2 linked regions of the Oreochromis niloticus genome follow. The protein of the gene in region 1 purifies or fractionates together with the protein of each later gene. This does not show direct contact. Links are inferred from orthologs where the notes say so. Each region holds a gene or a part of one and is shown on either strand. Other genes may lie near its edges.

Region 1 (10,407 bases):
TGTGACTGTGAGGCAACAGCCTTCACAAAAAGTCATGTTTAAACCGTAATTCCCTAAATCTTCCCCCTGATCAATATTCTCCATATCACAAATACTAACCAAGTAAACTGAAACTACAGAAACTAAAATGAGCCACTCTGGAAACTAACTGAAAGGGAACTGAATAAAAAAAGTCAAAATGAAATAAAAATAAAAACCAATTAGAAAATTATAAAACTATAACACTAACTTTCATGCAGACAAAAAAGTTAACAGGCAACTTTCAGGCGCTTGGAGTAACAAATTTTACATCATCCAGCAACAAAACAAAAAGCAGCATTCACAGCACATTTAAAAAGATCTTCAAAGAGAAACAAGCCTCCCTACATGCAGTTTTCCTACCTGAATTTCGTCACATTTTATTAGCTTTTCCACTTCTGTCTGGCTCAGCAGCATGAACTCCTCATGCTGAACCACCTCGGAGAAATGCTTCTGGGAGAAGAGCTCAGCGGCCTGCATCAGGTCAAGGCAGTTGTGAGTCTCTGCAAAGTCTCGAATGCCCAGACAGTTGGACGGATCGAGTTGGCTCTCCAAAAAATCACAACACGCTCTTTTCACCCCTAGGGAATACAGAGATAGGTTTGTACACACATACACCATTTGTAGCCTTAACTCTTTCGAAAACCAGCATTTAATTCTCTCTTAATTTGGAAACGCAGAAGGCATTTTAATGGAATAGTACCACTGTTTAATAAATGTTTCTTAGAAAATAGAATTTTAAATTGATGATTAAGCCTAAAAATAATTATTACATCACATTTTCTGCGGTTCCCAGCAGACTATAATAATTCTGGATGATATGATTAATTTTACAAACAGACTCATTCACACTATCTACAAAAATATATATATTTGCAACATTCGCTGTCATTTTTTTAACTTTTTTTTTAAATATAAGATTATATGGCGTCTGCTAAGATGAGCTGGATACGGTGGCCAGGGAGCGGGAAGTCTGGGCACTCCTGCTTAGACTGCTGCCCACTCATCCTGGCAGAAGATAGATGGATGCATGGATTTTCCCAGGTGCTATACAAGGTATGAATACTGAATACAACACTGCGTGATTGATTGATTACACTGCTGTAACTGAGGTTCGAATTAAGCCCTTACGTTGTTTCATGAATGGATTGAGGAATTAAAGATGATCCATTTAAATCTGTAACTGGATGAGTTTCCCAGTTACTAACGTTTGCGAAAGTGACTTATTTCAACAGGCCTGCTTACTAAAACTCCAAAATCCAACATTACAACAACCCAGTTTATTCTACCAGCTACACATAAACTGACCTAAGTCATGCTAAAACTAATACATTACTGCCTGCAAGAGGAAACAATTCAAACTTTGTAATACCTGGTAAAACGTATCTTTGAGGAAACTGAATAATACGTTTCAAGATCTGGGGTTACAGTCATGAAAAGATGGCTTAGGCAAACTCTTTAATCATTATGTTTATTTTCTTTCATCATAACATTGCACTTTAATTAACATGAACACTGTAAATATGCCACATTTACCCATACACACTAATTCTTATCAGCAGACCGTGGTAAACAGACATAATTATATTATGTTATATTAACATGTTAAACAAAGTTATAAAAGCTCAAAACACAGAAGCTTCTGAAGACAATGTCAAAACCAGAGACAATTATTAGAAACTTTTTAACTCAAGGTACAGCTCTGAACTTACCTTTGAGCTGTAGCAAACACGCTGCAGGGAGCAGCTCTTGTACGTTCTCCACCGTGACGAGCACAGTCTCTGTGTAGACAAAGTCCAACAAGATCTCCATAGTGGATGCCGTGAGCCCCTGAATGTCGACAAAAGATTTCCCCTTTTCTGCAAGCTACAGAGCCACAACAACACATTTATTTGAAGGATTACTTTTGAGAATCATCCTGCATTTTAGGCAAATGTAACACCACCTTAAAACACCCAGAAAGGCCAACAAAGAAAAAAACAGAATAAAAGAGTGCATCAGGAATGTAACTGGGGCATCTATTTTTCAAACATTATTACCTCGCTAGTGAACATGGCACAAAAATAGTCACTGCAGGCAGCCAAGACGATTCGGTGAGCTGGAAAATCAGTGTTCTCCACCCTCAGAGTGATGTCGCAGAGTGTGTTGCTCTTGCGAAGTGAGTTCATTGCATTGAGGATGGATTTGGCATGGGAATTGGTCATGATGTCTTTGGGAGCCATGCTGCTTTGAGAATCCCTTACGGATCTCAAACTACTAAATGAATCTGGAAAAAAGACAGTCTATTTTGAAAACATCCTTTGGGAAGAAAGGTATTCCACAGTAAGCATAAAAGCACGCCACAATGTCACATTTTTATATACTGTACAAGCAAGTCATGCAGCTAGTGAGTGTGTGTGTCTGTCAGTAATTTGTCAGTTGGGTTGAACTGCTGGCTATTCACAAGATAAGTTTGTGACACTTTGTGGGAAATGATAACAGATTTTTGTCACTATTTTACACCCTTTTTACAACATTTTGTAAAAAAAAAAAAAAAACCCAAACCCCTCCCCCCCCAAAACCTAACTGCTAATGAAAATGTACATGAAAAAAACCCCACTTTATATTAACTTTTACATTATATAATACTTACTTTGTATATATATAATTTGTATTGTGTATTATTTCTACATTTTTTTCTTGGCAAGGACAAGAAATAGCATAATTTATTCTGCTTACAGGACAGCAATGGAGAGAAAATACTGACTATCATAGAAGCACTATAGTATTTATAGTGCTGTATTTGCTCGACTTCTTGATTTATTTCTTGCAAACAATGACTTGACTTATTAAGGGGGAAAAAAGCTATCCAATCCTACCTGGCCCTGTGTAAAAACAGAATTGTTACCCTTGTTAAATCATGAATTAACTCCAATTAACCACATTTTTGGAAATCAGAGTTCAATTACACTTGCCACACTTTGGTCTGATTACTACCACACCTACTGAATCAAGAAATCACAAGAATAGAACCTGCCTGACAAAGTAAAGTAGCCCAAAAGTGCTCAAAAACCAACATATCATGCCATGATCAAAACAGATGAGAACCAAAGTCACTGACGTCCATTTCTAAGGCTTTGGGACTCCAGTGAACCACAGTGAGAGCCACTAACCACAAATGAAGAAAAAATTGGAACAGTGGTGAACATTCACCAGAGTGGCCAGCCTACCAAAATTACTCCAAAAGCCCATCGATGACTGATCCAGGAGGCCTTAGGCATGTCTCACATTTGCCAAAGAACATCTAAATAAACCCCAGAACTTTTGAAAAAAAAAATACTCTGAGGACTAAAGTTGAACCTTTGAAAGGTTTGTGTCCTGTTACATCTGATGTAAGACTAACACAGCATTTCACAAAAAGAACATCATGCCAACAGTGAAACACGGTGGTGGTAGTGTGATGGTCTAGGGCTTCTTGCTGTAATTCATGGAACAATGAATTCTGCTCTCTACCAGAAAATCCTGAAGAACAATGTGAAGTCATCAGTTTGTCCCATGGAGCTCAAGCATAACTTGGTGCATAACATGAGTTATGCAGCAGGATCTGAAACACATTAACAAGTCTGCCTCTTAACGGCTCAAAAAAATAAGATTTTGGACCGGCCTAGTCAAATTTTAGACTGAAACCAGATTAAGATGCTTTGGCATGACCTTAAACTGGCCACTCATACTTGAAAACCTTCTAATGTGGCTGTATTAAAATCATTCTGCAAAGAAGAGTGGGTCAGATTTTCTCCACATGTGAAAGACTCATTCCCAGTTATCACAAAGACTTGACTGCGGTTCATCCTTCCAAGGGTGGTATAACAAGTTATCAAGGTTGTAGAGGGCAATTACTTTTGTCCACACAGGGCCGGGTAGGTATGAATATCTTTACTCCCTGAATAAATTAAATCATCATTTAAAAACTGCATTTTGTATTAACTGAGATTACATTTGCCTAATTTTAAAAGTTCTTTGAAGATTTCAAAAATGAAAAAAATAACAACTCAGAAATGGGGGAAATACTTTTCTCATCACTCTACTTCTTGTAGAAAGGTTTAAATGATCAGTTATTTCTATGAATAAATGCAGCATATTTAATAATGCTAGTCAAATAAATATGTGTTTTTTTTCCTTTCCAGACTTTACATTTTTGGAACATTTTTCCACTACAGTCTTGCAAATAAAACTTACCGTTAAAAGATCTGAATACTTTTTCCACCACTGGGAGGCAATAACTATAGCTACACATTAGCTAGCAGCAGCCAACGACAGCTGACGGCTAACGCCAACGCTAACAATAACAACTACGAAAACACAGCAATATAAAGTGAGCTGACGGCCAGAGGAAGACAACACATGGAGCGACACACACACAAAACAACTTATAATAATACCTGTCGCAGCAGTAAAAACGTCTAGCTAAGTTGCTCAGCTAGCTAACGTTAGTAGCACCAAAGTCCCCCTGTCCCAGTTCTTTGCTCCCAGTCGCACTGCCTAAACAAAGCCCCTCAACTACAGCTACTCCATGACGACCTCTGCCGGGTCACTCTATGCACGGCCACCGTGAGGACACATATATCGGAACGGCATCATATTAAATCCCGATGGGATTTTTATCCAGCTATAATATCCCGTTGACTAAACTGCAGCAGCAGAGCAGCGACTCCACAGATTGGACGTAAACAGACCATTACGTGAGTGTACGTGCGCGTCCCCCGAGGAGACCGCCCAGACGCGTTTCGCTCCAGAAACAAGATGCCTTCCGCGCATGCCCGCTGGTCGGCCTCAACTGCTGCTGTAGGAATAGTAAAATAGCCGTCTCACTCAAACTAAGTGACAAATCCGGATTTGACGGGGGCTTATAAACCCAAAGTGACACACAGAGAAACGCAGGAGGAATTTTATCTCTTAAAAAAAAAAAAAAATTCTGCTCTCTTTTTTTTGGTCACCCAAGGACGGCAGCTACAGCAGCAGGAGGAGGAGTTAGCGGCGTGTTTCCGCTAAGAGCAGGCCGAGACGGTAATCTATGCAGCCGCACTGAGAATTACAAAACAGCGGCAGACCAGTTGGCAGCTACTGCGAATAGTTTGACTGAAATTTGTTTAATCTTCGGGGACTTTTGGTTGTTCGTATCGGGAGGCTAAACAACGAGAGAGTGAGTGGCAGCTGGACTGTCAGCGATGGAAGCTGAATTTCGGGAAATCGATGAAAACGGCAGCTGGAACGCCATTTATCAGGTAAGAGCTCTTGGCAAATTAAGGTGGAAATAATCAGACCGTAGCTGAAGCTGGTTAGGCCAACGTGTAGCTTATGTAAGGTGAGGTGGTAGCTATAGTTTCTCTGGCTATATCAGTGTGTTGGTGTTTAGTTCAGCGCCTGTTCTTCCTGCTCGGAGTTAACCGATGATTGATGCGTCTGCCCGGGTATAAAGGCAGCAGCTCAACGCTGACTGACGTCATACATTTTTTGGACGTACTAACTTATTTTTAATGATTTGTTCTCAGTTTCGTCTAACATTTCCATTCCGCTGTTAATCGGCAGCTTATTATAATTATTATAAATGTTTGTAATACATTACATAGGGGTATAACACACCTGAAACCGAGTGAAATCGCGATACAAACCTCCAAAATATCGTATCGCGGTTCTATCTCTCCCATACCATGATACACGTAAGGTGTAAAATGCCATAGGTAACAATTCAAATGGAAATGCATCACAATAATGGTAGAAATTTTCCTCTATGAAAAACTTTGCCACATTCTAAAGAAGTTTTAGCCTTTCATAAAAGAGAATTATTAATTTTTGTTGAATGGGGTTTGATTTACTCAAACTTAAATGCATTGTTAAGGGTTTTCAGTGGGGTTAATTTAGAAAAAATAAATTTCTGACAGAACAAATAACCAAAAAAAACCCCAACTGAAACCTGCTTTGAGCCAGGAATCCCCCTCTCCCCAATATACTATTGCATACAGGATTCATTAGTCTGTTATATGTGCCATACAGCTTCTATTTTAATTCTTTAAGACCATATCCTAAAACTTAAAATTAAAAGTACCCCCTGGGAATTTTTTTGTGAGCTAGCAAAAGTACTGTTCAAAACATTTACCAACACATTAAATATTTTCTGTACATTTGTGGTCTACTAAACATGTCAAAGGCATTCACTTCCTCATTTATGATATGAAGTGTACTGTTTAGTTGGGGTTTTTTTCTTTCTTTCTGCGTATAAGAAAATTTGACCTGCTACGCAAACTTCATGTAATCACCCCAAAGGCTCATTTTGAGCCAGGAAATGCTCTTAATGGAGCTAAATTGTTATTCGTAATTCAGTCTTGATCAAACGATCAGACCTGTTGTGGACTTTGGTTTTCTCCCTCGTGTCTTTGTTATTTATCCCTGCTGAAGAAAATTGAATAAACTGAAACTGTGGAACATAAGGTTATGGACTATGATTGGTCATTGAGTCAAATCTCAATCATCTCTCTATTATTTACAAACTTTACAAACATTATGCAGTGGCTGAAGTTAAAACTGTGTTGTTGTTGTTGTTTTTTCACATGGAATCTTCTTTAACTGTTACATAATTCAAATAACATAGAAAAAAACTGTTCAGTAGGCAGGGCTTTGGATTATAAAGCCAGACCAGGTGATGGTCCCTACAAGCCCATAGCTTCCATAGCGGAATGTTTGTGGGTCCAGATGGGCGAAACGCTGTAATAGAGTTCGGCCGTCTTGGGAAACCTTTAAAGCAGCCTCAGATGAACCACAGAGAACTGAAGCTGACCGCAAACTGTTCAGCATTGCCAAAAGCAGATAGGGTGACAGGCCCTAAGTGATCTAGAGTTGGAAACGGCTGCAGTCAACCATTAATAATCTTTCCACAGGTTCACCTACCTATGCCTTGAAACTTTTTGTCCCGCTGTTTAGCTCTCTTGCAGTTATATTGCCTGCAACTGAACTAAACCGCAAGTTTAAACTTTTTAGGAAGAGGTGAAAGCAAAATAGGTGGGCTTGGAACATGTATATCATGAAACAATAAAAACAATGAAAATGAATGTTGTTTCTTGTTTTCATAATTGTTGGAAGTCAGAATTGACATTTAAATTAAACTTTCATTAACCACCCTAAGAAAGCAACCAGCAAATTTCTGGTTTCAGAAATTTGATAACCCCCTCCTCATATTTTAGGGTAGTCTAAATACAAGCTTTTGACAGTGTTAGTATTGAGGCAAATATAATCCTGATTGTTATTGAGATAGCTAGAGGAAATTGTAAAAGGGTCATCAGTGAATGTCATCATTGTTTTGTTTGTTTGTTTGTCTTAAAGAATACAGCAGTCACACTCAGAGCTTTTTAATGTGGAGTGGATGTTGTTTTGTTGTTGTTGTTGTTTTTTTTAAACAAAACGAAAAAAACCCTGCAAAAACACCAAAACTCTGCTTTAATGCTTGTTTTCCTCCTTTTATTCTGTTACAGGAGATTCGGCAGCAGTCGAGTGAATTCCCTTGTAAGGTTGCCAAATCACCTGAAAACAAGAATCGGAATCGATACAGAGACGTTAGCCCGTGTAAGTTTGTCTTTGCTTGCCTCAGTGTGCTGGACCGCAGAGTCTGAAACACTTAAAATATTCCCACAACTCTCAAGGTGTTTTAGCCACTAAAATTACATTTAGGACCTCATTATATACTCGTATACTGGTTTCATTTATCTAGGGCAGATATTTTAAAATGTTTTCATGTAATTAACTAGGGTTTTCAGTGATTTTAAGCATCACAGTTATGCCAGGTTTTTATGCCAAACCTTCTGTAGAACAGATACATTACCTGAAACTTAACCTGCCTCTTAAAGCTAGCACCATGCACACAGAGGTTGGTCACAGGGATATAGTATTTGGGTAACTGTGATAGAAACATTGTCCAAATGCCCCTGAAAGTAGCAGATTTGTTTGTGTCCTGCCTGCCAGCTCTGGTTGCTCAGTTGTCAAACCGCATGTGCTTCAGGATATCTCTGAATCTTGCTCTGCATCTGTGAACTGTGGTTCATTGCAAAACATTAAAGTGAGTGAGTACAAGTGGAAAATTACAATAAAATCAAACACTGTTATGTTTTTAAAAAAAAACAACATGCTCACATTTTCACACAGCTTTCTATTATCTTTGCCACACCAAAGGGGTTATTCGTGTAAGAAACTATGAAAAGTTGTGGAATGGCAAATGTCATGTCATGTCATGTCATGATAGGAACATTTTTCTGATTCAAAATATCACAAAGGCACATATAAATATACAGCTGGGGTGATAATGCGACCTCATTTGAATACTTGAAGGTTAAGTGAATGCCACTGTGGGTCTCTTTGCTTGGTACTCTACCCGCAGTGTTGAAGGGTCTGTAATCTCCTATTTATGTTTAAACATCTGTGGTGAAGTCACAGCATTATGCAGCATTATATAAACACCTAAGCTGTCTGCTGTTTTAGTAGGTACAAGCACTGTAATATCAGTTTGAAGTCAAGTAAAGGTAGTATTGCGCAATAGAAACAGCCTTGCATGACTCTAACTGGCGTGGCATAGTATTTCCAGCTAATTTATTACTGAGTGTCTCAAAAACACCTACACAAGGGGAAGATCAGGGAAAGGGGAAATTAAGTTTTTTTTTTTTTTTTTTTTTCAGCAATGTTTTTAGTATCATCTATTTTTTTAAGCCTTGAAATAAATGGTAAAATAAAAAGCAAAAACAGAAACAAGCATTTCCTCTATTTCCTCTCTTTTTTTATCTTATAAATATATGGTTATCCATAACCACACAGCTCCTTTTTTTTGTATGTTACATAAAAAGTGAGCGTATATACTGAAGCATAATTCATTCATAAATATTAATTTAAAAAATAATCTTTTTTCTGAATTGAGGATATATCTTAAAAATCTTAAAGGAGCCACTGTTTTTTGTGAGCTTGATTTCATTAACAGTATTGGCCTCATTGGGACTTACTGGTGTCTTTGACCAATATTTTGGTACTGTTACAAGCTGTGTGCTGGATATTATGCTGTTACTTCAGGATATAAATCCGTGTATCTAAAATATATTCTTACTGGCAGTTTGGTGACCATACACAGTATAAAAGGATGCACGTGGATAAAAGCTGAATTTTGAAGCTTTAAAGTTAGTTTTGGCCACTATCATAATGTTATGATGTTTTTTGGGAGCTAGAGTTGACCTTATATGCATGAAAGGGTGAAGGGCTGAGTTTACAGGTACAGTTTTTTTTAGCAACATCAATGAACTGTTAATTAATACAGTAGCAGGAAACACTCAACAAAAAGGAGCACAAACTTTGTGACTAGTTTGTACCACACATTAGTTATTAGTCAAATGATCTCCATTAAAAAAAGCTCAGTGACTCCAGTTAGTGGAGGTGTACATCAGCTACATGTAAGTACACTTGTCAATCAACACAATGACTAAGCTAACTCAATAACTCAATTATCTAAGTGAATGAGTTTCCTCTTTTTTTTTTTTTTTTTTTTTTCTTCTCTACACCAAGTTGTAAATATATATTTTAATGCTGTAAATTTGGGCGTTTTGACAGGGGAGTCTGTTGGGAATTACTCGCTTTTAGAGTCAACCTCAAGTGTTCTCTAGAGGATCTGTAGTTTCTGCCACTTCTGTGTTTTCAGCTCCGGAAGTTTCCCTCTTGCTGGTGACTCAAAGAACACAAAGATACCAAATGATTTTTGCAATATGTATTTTTTGATCATGAATCTTTTTTGTGTTTTTTGCTTGTTTGTTTGCTTTTTTGTTTGAATTTTCTATAGCAGTTTGGCATTTAAAATACAAGGTTCATTATACTCATGTGTTCTTTTTGGGTACAAATCAGATAGCTTTGGGTCTAGTGCACTTCCTCTTGTGATAATTTTCTCACAGGTCACGCTGACCTCTTCTCAAAATCTTTCTACTGCTGGAGACTTTGCAATAACTGAAAGCCTCATGTCAGCTTCAGCAGATAGTCAGGTTGCAATGAACTTTCTACAAAACGTCCTAACAGCTGAACTACAGAGTTTCCTCTTTTTCACACTCAATAAGCCATGCAAATTTTTTTTTTTTTTCTCAGACTGGGTTGCAAATAGTTACCGTAAATACCAACAAGGGTTTTCTTATTCCCCTTTACCAGATATGAAAATCAGGAACCTGAAACTTTTTTTATACTGCTAACCTTTTACCTAAAAGGTTCTTCACTGGAAATCATAAAAAGCTAATCTCACAATAGTTAACATCTTTAGTTTGTATGAAGATGCTTGTTAAGTGTTCCCTACAGCTGTTTTGGTCTGAGAATTGCATTTCTAGTCCCTGGTGGGTTGTGGCATTT
Region 2 (10,407 bases), on another chromosome or scaffold:
TGGCAAATTTTCAGTATACAAAATTAATATATCAAAAACACAGGGGATGACTTCAGATTTTACTGTCCCAAGATGTACGTCAGGACAAGTACAGCCTCTGATAGGGAGGCGACCATAAAGACACAATTACAACCCCTTGTCCTCTAAGATAAAATTATATTTGCACCGATGGCACACTAGGATAAGGGCAGTGAAGATGAAAACTCCAAATGTCGATCTGCGGGACCAGCACCCCATTTCCATTTCAATTTGACACACAGTATATTTAAGATGGGCGATGTTCTGCAGATGACAAAAACAGCTTCTAAAAAGGTAGTCAACATGCTGATTTCTCACAGTGGGGAAACTAAACATGAGAGTGGGCCAAGATTTTTAGTTACTGTGTTAGGTGCACAGATCAGAACTTTAAATCAGAGAGACTTTTTTGTATTCAAAGAGAGAAAATATCCTTTTTTTATAACATGAATGCAGTCTTGAAGTATAGATAATGTGGCTACATTCTGGGGTTTGAAGGGCATGTACATCTGAATATCATCTGCATAACAACGATATGAGAAGATACTGAACTTGTGCCCAAGTGAGAGCATGGATAGGTCCCGGGGCTGAAAAACTCCTGTGAGAGAGATTGGAAGAAAAACAGTCAAGACCTACAAATGGCCACCCAAGTCAATCCGAACACCATGAACAACAGTGTTAAAGGCAGCAGAGAGATCAAAAAGTACAAGGACGGAATATTCACCTACATAAGAAAATGGCCTAAAATTCTCAAGGAGGGAGAGGTCAGCATTGAGGGACACATTCAGAGGTGAAAGAATTATTCATCACCTTAAGAACAAGTGGTGCATTGGTGTGTGAGACCTTTTTGAACAGTCAAGTTGGTAAAGTGTCAAGTGGGCAAAAGAATGCCTTCATTTTATCAACCAAACTGACGAGACTGTTCAGAGAGATTGGTGCAAAGAGTGATGACCAGCTAATATTTGCTTGATATTATGGGTCTTATTAACACAGAAAGAAAGTTTTCACACTCTTTATTTGACTGAACAGTTGGAGCAGGACGTTCAGACATGACAATGTTTCTGATTGTGTCAAGTAAAACTTTTGAATTCTCTTGGCTGTTTTAGATAAAATTTGAAAAATATGTAGCCTTCACATTTTTGGATATTATTAAAAGAATGTAAGAGCTCTTTAGATCACAAAGATGCAAATTTATTCTTTGATTGTTTTTTCTGTTGGGAACAAAACATTTTTACAACAATTTTGTTGTTCTATAAGGATCGGGACAGGAAGAGACTGAACAGGCTGATCCGAAGGGCCAGCTCTGTTCTAGGATGCCCTCTGGACCCAGTGGAGGTGGTGAGTGACAGGAGAATGGTGGCTAAGCTGTCATCCCTGTTGGACAACATCTCCCACCCCATGCATGAGACTGTGAAGGCACTGAGCAGCTCCTTCAGTGGGAGACTGCGGCACCCACGGTGTGGGACGGAGAGATTTCGCAGGTCTTTCCTCCCCACTGCTGTCAGACTCTACAATAAAGACTTTTGCAGCTGATCAAACACACAAACCCACACATGTGCAATAAGACTGCTATACGTGCAATTCTTCTTCTGACGAAGTTGTGTTTTTGTATTTTCCTACTCAGTTGTATATAGTATTTGTATTTCTATTTTATTCTATTGTATATATTATTCTATTCTATTTTATTCTATTGTATATAGTATTTTATTTTATTTTATTGTATTTTATTGCATTCCAGTGTTTTCTAATTTCTGCTACATAACTTTGCACTTTTGCTGTAACAAAACAAATTTCCCACCTGTGGGACTAATAAAGGCCATCTTATCTTATCTTATCTTATCTTATCTTATCGTGGTCGTTGATGGACCTACACTGACCTCATATCAAATTTGTAGATAGATTTAGCCTATGTTTCTATGTTTAGTTTCAAACCCTTTAAGCTGAGAGAACATTTTTATTTACAGCTTGTTTTAAGTGTGATAGAGACTCAGTCCTGGGGGGAATACCCTTTATATGTGCAGGTTAAGTCTACAGAACTAAAACCGCTGAGTGAAACTGCATGCATTGCATTGTCACAGAAACATGCACAGTTCAGATTAGATTAGATTAGATTAGATGAAACTTTATTAATCCCTCGGGTGGGTTCCTCCGGGAAATTCAGTTTCCAGTAGCAAAGCATCGAAAGAAGTTGCATGTTACAGATACAATAAGGGGAATGAGAGTAAGGATATTAGCATAAATACACCATATATACACATATACAAATATATAGATACAGAATATACAAAGGATTGCTCATTTGAATGAGTATATTGCACCGTGATTATTGCACAGTCGAATATAAGAAAAAAAAAAATATATATATATATATATATTGCAAATATTGCACAGTGTAAAAAAGCACCTACAGCTCAGTTGTTCCCGCCCTCCCTTGTCCCCCTGTTTCCCCTCCCTCTCCCCTCCAGAGAGGCGTTAAACAGTCTGATGGCCTGTGGGACAAAGGAGTTTTTAAGTCTGTTGGTTCTTGACTCTGGGAGAAGCAACCTGTCACTGAATAGGCTCCGTTGATTGTTTACGACCATGTGCAGAGGATGCCCAGCATCGTCCATAATGTCCAGGAGTTTCTTTAGTGTCCTTTTCTCTGCCACTGACACCAGAGTGTCCAGCTTCACAGACCACAGAGCCAGCCTTCCTGATTAGTTTCTCCAGCCTGGATGAGTCCTTCTTTGCTTCTTTGCTTCCTGTTACTTTGTAGAGAATTCCATATTTCCTTTATTAGACTGCGGGACAGAAACCCCAGGGGAAACCGTGGGTTAGCTTACCAAGTTGATAACAAGCTTTGTGTGACTGGCAGTCCCCCGGCACAGATTAGTAATACACCAGTAAGTGCCAGGATGATTGTCATGTTTTATACATTAAGGAAACCAAACAACCTCTGGCTAAGCACATGGCTTAAGGCAGAAGAGCTACCTCATTATCACCATCATTGATTATTATGTCTAAAGCAGGGTTAGATCTTAAACTAATTGAGCTAATTTAAGTTATAATTTAACTTATATATAAAAAACTTTACAGGTACTTTAAAATGAAAAAAACACAAAAAAACATATGCTATTGTAAAGTAAGTGCAGCTTTTATTTAATATTACACTTCGTTCACATGCTTATTTTTTGCATAGTTATTTAGATATGATAGATATTTGTGTGTTTTTTGGATGTACATTTATTCACTGACTCTGTTTTCGTGTTTAAATTCATTGTTACTGATCTCTTTGGCAATTCATTCATTCGTATATGCATTTGTACTTGACGTGTCAAAGTAAAAATAGATACATAATAATAATGACAATTTACTATTATTATTATTATTAGTAGTAGTAGTAGTATTGTAGCCACAGGTAGGTGGCAGTAATGCATCTCTATACTTGTTGTCAGCCGCCGATGAGGAAGAAGAAGCCGAAGCACAAGAAAAAGAAGAAGAAGAAGAAGCAGAAGACTTCGACCGAAAGACCGTGGGGAGCAGGCCGGTCGTTGTGTCCCAGTCATGGCGGGTTTCAGTAAATATCTGACAGCTAGGAACTCCTCCATAGCGGGCAGCATTTTGTTTGTGTTAGTCCTGCTGAAGCACAGGAAGCGGACCAAGTCAAATAGGTAAGTGGCTGCTGTTATGTGTCGCTCAGTAGCTGGTTGTCAGCAGTTTGCGACGACTGTCATGCTACTTAGGAGCGGCTAGCAGCTCATGCTGACAGGTGACTGCGACCTGCCGCTGCCTCGGTGCTCCCGAGTCTCCCTCAGGTTTTCTAAGCAGGCACGTTTTCTGTGTGCACTTTGGGGCCCTCTTGTTTCGGTCGGCATACATCCCAACACAAACAGAAGTAACGTGTGTTCCTGACACACTGTCGTAAACCCATGACTGGGCTGACTGGGAAACGACTTAGTTGTCAAATCTGTGGCTTGGTGTCTTCTACTATATCTTTCTAAGAAATGTCGTACTGTCAGCCAAAGTTGTGTGTGTGTGTGTGTATAATTTAATAAGGTAGTGTGTGTAGTTATCTGTCAGCCACAACAACATTAAACCCGCTGGCAGGTGAAGTGAGTAATGTTAATTGTGGGAAAGCTTACAGAAGTAACACTGCTCTGAGGCGGTGAAGGCGGAGGTTGTAGTCCCTGTGTGAATCCCGTAAATGGGCCTCATGCTACAGTATGGCAGGGGAGGCCACTGTTAACAGCGTGTTTCTGATAATCGTTCAACCCCGTCTTTTTCAGAGGAAGCTCAGATCTGGTGCTGAACACGCAGGTATGTTGAAACACCCTGACCTGAATGTTTAAAGTGTCCAAAGTCTACATAATACTTAGTTTGGTGCAATTGCTTTAATTCTTGTCTGTACCTCTTCATGTAGAAGGATGGCAAAAAAGATCGGGCAGCTGTGGACAAAGTTTTCTTTCTCCGGATCCTCCGGATTCTCCGGGTCTTGGTGCCTCGCGTTTTCTGCATGGAGGTAAGATGTGAAGACAAGCGAGTAGACTTGAACCAAGCTGTTACACTGCCTGCACTCACTGCTCTCTTATTTATTCATATATGTGCTTTTGTTAGATTCCAGGGCAGTGGACAGTTCTTTCATCACGCCAGTGTAGACATGCTGTACATTTCTTCTGATCGCTGTTAAATGATTATCAGGGGGAAAAACACACTGCATCCTTTATTCTAAAAAAATAGCAGAAAAGCCAGTACAGTGTAAAAAACAAGCCTTGACTGCTTTGTGAGCACATCCTGGTTCCTTCTTTCTAAGGACCAGAGACTGAAGAGCCATTACCCTACCAGGGCTCGGTGCCCATCTTATCTGCCGTGAGCTGAGATCACAGCTTCCAATATGTAGTTGATGACTTGGTGTTTTCACACCTATAGTTCTTTTACTCTGGTCTGTATCAGTTGCTGCATGTGTAGCTGGTCCCCATAGTTTGGTTTGTTTTCACACAGAAAAATCCAAATCTGTCTGCAGTGGGAGCAACAAAGGTTAGTTCAGGACGATGGTGTTGTGTTCTCAACTACAGGAGAACATGGAGAATTTCACAGCTTGCTTGCTAGCCCATACAGACCCTCACATATCTATAGTACCTTGCCGGATCCCACAATACACAACGTCCATGGCTCCGGCTTTGGTTCGTGTCACAGTGAGGTTACTGTGTTCACATCTTCACATATTTTTAAGTGAAATAAACACAGCAGGTGTGGACAGCATGTGTATAAATATGATACTTGGACAGTAATTACCTGATAATAAGATCGTAGTGATACCAACACTTCATCTTTGCTTCCTTCTGGTCAGCATTAATGTTGAAGACACATGTTGCCAGTCCTCCCATTTAAAAGTACTTGTGCCTGTGTTTCCCTCCCCGTGGTGTTAGATTGGCTGCTCTCTGACATTTTCATGGTTATTGGTATTACATTTGAAATTCTAGTTTTGTGACAGCCCTAATTACTGAGGTCCATTTGCCTTTCACCTATTTGACCAGTGATGACTGGGCCAACCATAAAACATTGGTATCTGGTAATGGTTCAAAGATACTTGGAAACTGTTTCCAAACCGTTACTCTGATTGCGTGTGCAGCAGAGCCCTTTGACACAGAAACAATAACTCCACAAGTCAAGGTCGCAGCCACATGGCTGCTCCTGGTTTCTTCTCGTCTTATCTCATCAGTTCATTAGATATGAGCAGAGTCAAAGGTAGGATAATAAACAACTGTGATTGACTGCAGTCTTTTACACACTCCACTAACTGTGGGCGCTGTTTCCCCTCTCCTCCACAGGCTGGCTACCTTATTTTTATTGCTGCCATGTTGGTGGCCAGAACCTACTGTGATGTGTGGATGATCCAGAATGGGACCATGATCGAAAGGTCAGGCTTCAGTGTTTAAGATAAGATGTTTGTTTTTGTTACAAAAGTAAATCAGACGACACAACAAAGATGATAAATCTATGTATGGGGGGTGGGGTAGTGTATATCACTGATGCTGATGCCCTACCTTGCATGTGGCGTTCCCGGGTTTCTCTGCTGCTAGTCACAGAATGAAAGTTTGAAAATGTAACGTTGATTTTGCTTTGCTGTCTTTACAGGAATTGATGAACTTTGTTTTGATTCTTCACAGTGGTATTATAAGCAGAGACAGCTCTCTATTCAACAGGCACTTTTTTTCCTACATATCAGTCATACCAGGGGTAACTGTCAACAAGTGCTTGTATTAGAAGTGGGGAAGCCATTAACATGGTAGTTTTAACATCTGCTTTGGAGTTGTTGTGCTTTGTGTGAGGTCTGCTTTCCTTTTGAGGTAAAACACTGACCTGTGGTCATCATGGTAATGTGTAACATCTTGGCATAGATTAACTGGAATGCTATTCAGTGTGTGCTTGTGCCTTGTTACTCCTGGTTTGGAAGCAGCCTGTGTCAGTCTGATTGTACATGTCAGAGTAATGAGCAGCACAGCCGGCTGTCTCTGAATCAGCAGGCTCGGCCTGCAGCTGATCAGACATGACGTGTAGTATGAACTTGTTCTGCTTCAGATACTGTGTGCGTTCAGAAGGGCCGTTTCATGTATCATGTGACCCTAGCACACAAAGCGCTGCGTACGAGTGCCGCCGGTCACAGATTGTATCTGATGAGAAACTGCTGGCTGAGAACATCTTTTTAGGAGCAGTGAAAGCCGTCGCACGCTGCATTGTTAAGAAGCGACTGAAGCTGAGAATTATTCAAATGCAGACTTGTTCTATGTACACTCTGCAAATGTGAGAAACCCCAGGAGAGCGAGCTGGGCCTGATGCTTCTAAGCAAGAAAAGACCGAGACTGTGGTTCGATCCATTTCTTCATGGTGGCAGCAGCAGGGAGAGCGTCATGGTTTGATCCAGGAGTCACTGAGGAGTTTTCAGAGAGCCAACTGACCAAGAGCATCGTCTAGCTGTTTGACTGAAGTACTGTTGCTTATAGATTTGATATTGGTGCAGATTTTGAATTACGAGCACACACACACTGCACTTGGGTATGGGTTGCGATATTTTTTTAATTTTTTTTGTGCGATTAGGTGGATCTGACAAATATTTGTAATGTATGTAACAAATCCAATTTAATGCCACTAGCCACTGTACGTCAGCCGTGGTACAGTAAAGCCTTTGGAGTCGGTGGCCCTCTATAGTCCAGTGCACAGCAGCTAATAACATGGAAATGCATAGATTGAATAGTGTTGCTCCGTGTCAGGATCCCACCGTCCTTCTGTTTGTGTCGTATCACATCATAAATTGCACACAGCAAGCTTCAGTGTTTGTCTCTGACCTTGGCTTTGTTTGCTCATCTTTGTTCTTGTTGTGGTTTGCAGTGCAATTATTGGTCGTTCGACTAAAGATTTCAAGATCTGCTTGTTGAAGTTTATTGAATTCATGCCAATTGTAAGTGTGAACTCTGAACTCCTGAGGTTTGTGACACTCCAACGTTGATTTCATGTCCATCTGTAGTTCATGCTCCCACATCTTTGTTGGAATGACAAATAATTCCATTTAAAACCAAAAACACACACTACCATGATTCTGCTTCGCTAACAGTGTGAATGAATGCCTGTGCAGCTGTGTGACTGACTGCTTTTCATGGTTGAGCTCTATGGCACAGAAATTGGTGTAATTATCATACTGACATAAACTGAGCATTGACTCTTCCCAGGCTGATTGTGTTGTTTAGTTTGCATGGCTTTCATGAAATCATGCTAGTTTGCTCCGTAGCCTTTGCCAGTAACTGTGGGTGGTCACCATAGCAGCTCTAGCTTTGTTATTGCCACGCTGTTCTCCTGGGAGCTTTCTTTTAATGTGTGACTGGCTGTTTCCAGATATCCTTGGTGAACAACTTCCTAAAGTTTGGTCTGAATGAGCTGAAGCTGAGGTTTCGTGAGAGGCTAACCCACCATCTCTACAACCAGTACCTGCAGTAAGTACACCAGTAATACTGTGCTCATCATGTCCAGAGGGTTTCACCTTCAGTGCCTGTGAGACAGGTGCATTGAGAGCAGCATGGTTAGGCTGGTGTATTTCAAGTTGAACTACAATTTCAAATGAAACGAGTGGCTTTGTTTGCTAAATCTGAGAAACAAATGTGAGACGGTGTCAGTTTTGGCTGTTGTGTTGAAGCCTCTCTGTCTCCCTGTGGTCACTGACACCAACACCTGGAACATGCATGTAAGCTGTGCCTGTGTGGGTGCAGCTAGGGCTGCTCGATTATGGCAAAAATGATAATCACGATTATTTTCACTGAAATTGAGATCTGGATTATTTGACGATATTTATTTAACAATAACAATGTATTGAATAATGGCTTTAAAGATTGTCAAAAAATAATATAAAATAGTGTGCAAATACTGATTACAGTGCAAATGTTTGCAATATAAAAAATAAATGAAAAATGTAAACATCTATGTTTAGTGAACTTCAAAATACTGCACAATATTTGATCCACGTCTGACTCCGCGAACCCATAATGTTTCCACCAATGTTCCCTCAAATCTTTCATGTGTCTGAGCGAACACACAAACTCCCTGAGCGTCCCTTGGACCACTGTGAGCGACATCAGACGTGTGCACTGTGGTCACGCCAGCATCTAATCCATCCAAGTTACATGGTTTATTAAAATAATCAAATCACAGCATTTACATTTATGTTAGACGACTTTTAATTAACTGCTTTAGCCCACTTACAATGAAAATTTAAAAAATCCTGTTCATGACCTGTGTAGTATGTTAACACTATTGGAAGTAAAAATAACTTGAACTCCAATTTTGAAAACACAACTTTCTTTCTTTTCTTTTTTTTCATAAAGCTCTGACTTGTATTATGAGTCTGTGGTCTGAGAGAGAGTCTGTAACTCTCTGTCTGCCAAATACAGTATATAATGACCAATGTTGGGCAATTAATTATATAGTTACTTCTTCAAAAAAGTAACTCAGTTTGGCAAACAACAAAGTTTTTTGCAGCTATTTATTTTTTTTACTGCAGCCAAGGCGTTTTTAAATAAACATTTCAAACTATTTACAGAACAATCAGCTGTTCTGCATCAAATCTGATGCCACACAAATTATTTGTGCCACTCCAAAAACTAATTTCTGTCCACTATGAGATAAAGGAGAACAACAGCCTGATACCTGCAGGCCTGACAACAGGAGATGTATCACTGCTGTAACACCTGTAACATTCAGCAGCCGCCTCATTGTTCTGACACACACAACAAAACTACACTACACACTAACTACACACTAACTACACAAGATTTGCGCTAAACGTCTCAAATCTCTCACATCTCAGAACACCGCCGTCACTCCTAAAACTTCCCCCCATTTCTTAACAACTAGATGCCACGTTGCCATACCATTTTTTGATTGGTCGACACGGTACATTTTTCGACCAATAGGAAAGGGTGGGGGGGGTTTGGTTTTGTTTTTGCTCACAGGCTTTCGAGCGTTTTCCTTATAAAACGCCGTTTTTACCGTTTCTTCCCGCAGTAAATATAAACAACGATAGTATTCAGGAAGAAAACCAAACATTGCAGATATTTTTATCATAACTCTGGTTTTACGTGGCCGATCAACACAATTTAAAAACTGGTATAAAGTCCACACTTTGTCCGTCAATTGTTCCGTCTGTCCTGCTCACATCTCCAATGGTTGGACACATTGTCATTAGCGTGGCTTCACTGCACATCAGCCACGCCGCTTTGCTAGCTAAAACACCGGTGTCGGCACATAAGGACGCTGTCATAGCCTGTCAGCGACGTTGATTAGCTGCGTATATACGAATGTGAATCGCATCATTGGCTGGACTATGGGATAAGGTGGCATCGTTCTAATCCCATACAGGAGCAGCCAGTCACTCACTGACTAACACTGCAAAACAGGATTGTTAAAGTTTTAATTTTAATTTCAATTCAGGTTAGATTTTTTTTTTGTGCGCAACGCAGATTTTCTGTGCGCAGAGACCGTGCCAGCAGTGCGCAATTGCGCACGTGCGCAGTTTAGAGGGAACATTGGTTTCCACACCACTGAAGTCGTTTTACCTCTTTTCAACCAACGGCATTCTTTCTTCAGCAGCCATTATCCTCTCCTCTCCAAATAACTTCTGCTTAGCTTTCCGAGCTTCCCTGGGGTCCTCTTAATTGTTGTGACGCGTGTTCGAAACGCAGAGAGGTGCGCTCGATTTGCCACACGGAGCAGCGCGAGAGTAAAGCACGAGGGAGGTGCTAATAATCGGCTCAGTCATTTTTGATGATCGTTGAAAACCCAGATCGTAATCGAGATTAAAATTCGATTAAATGAGCAGCCCTAGGTGCAGCTTTTTCTTTTTTTGCTACTATCAGCTCGTCACTACTG

Evidence for each region.
Region 2: the proteins of ptpn1 (region 1) and abcd3a purify together in Homo sapiens (affinity purification with mass spectrometry; 3 studies listed by BioGRID and IntAct, with this or other methods). This does not show direct contact. The link is inferred for Oreochromis niloticus from reciprocal best matches to the Homo sapiens genes PTPN1 and ABCD3.

Annotation. Positions count from the first base shown.
Region 1 is NC_031984.2:10,041,059-10,051,465, reverse strand, and holds the start of ptpn1 (tyrosine-protein phosphatase non-receptor type 1), read left to right. Parts: upstream 1-4,818; 5' UTR 4,819-5,222; coding exon 5,223-5,279; intron 5,280-7,520; coding exon 7,521-7,611; intron 7,612-10,407. Other genes in the region: klhl12 (kelch-like protein 12), read right to left, coding at 382-599, 1,731-1,884, 2,058-2,284, 4,234-4,291. UniProt on the Homo sapiens protein: Tyrosine-protein phosphatase which acts as a regulator of endoplasmic reticulum unfolded protein response. Mediates dephosphorylation of EIF2AK3/PERK; inactivating the protein kinase activity of EIF2AK3/PERK.
Region 2 is NC_031974.2:34,984,286-34,994,692, reverse strand, and holds the start of abcd3a (ATP-binding cassette sub-family D member 3a), read left to right. Parts: upstream 1-3,476; 5' UTR 3,477-3,558; coding exon 3,559-3,665; intron 3,666-4,280; coding exon 4,281-4,311; intron 4,312-4,414; coding exon 4,415-4,513; intron 4,514-5,822; coding exon 5,823-5,911; intron 5,912-7,380; coding exon 7,381-7,450; intron 7,451-7,881; coding exon 7,882-7,979; intron 7,980-10,407. UniProt on the Homo sapiens protein: Broad substrate specificity ATP-dependent transporter of the ATP-binding cassette (ABC) family that catalyzes the transport of long-chain fatty acids (LCFA)-CoA, dicarboxylic acids-CoA, long-branched-chain fatty acids-CoA and bile acids from the cytosol to the peroxisome lumen for beta-oxydation.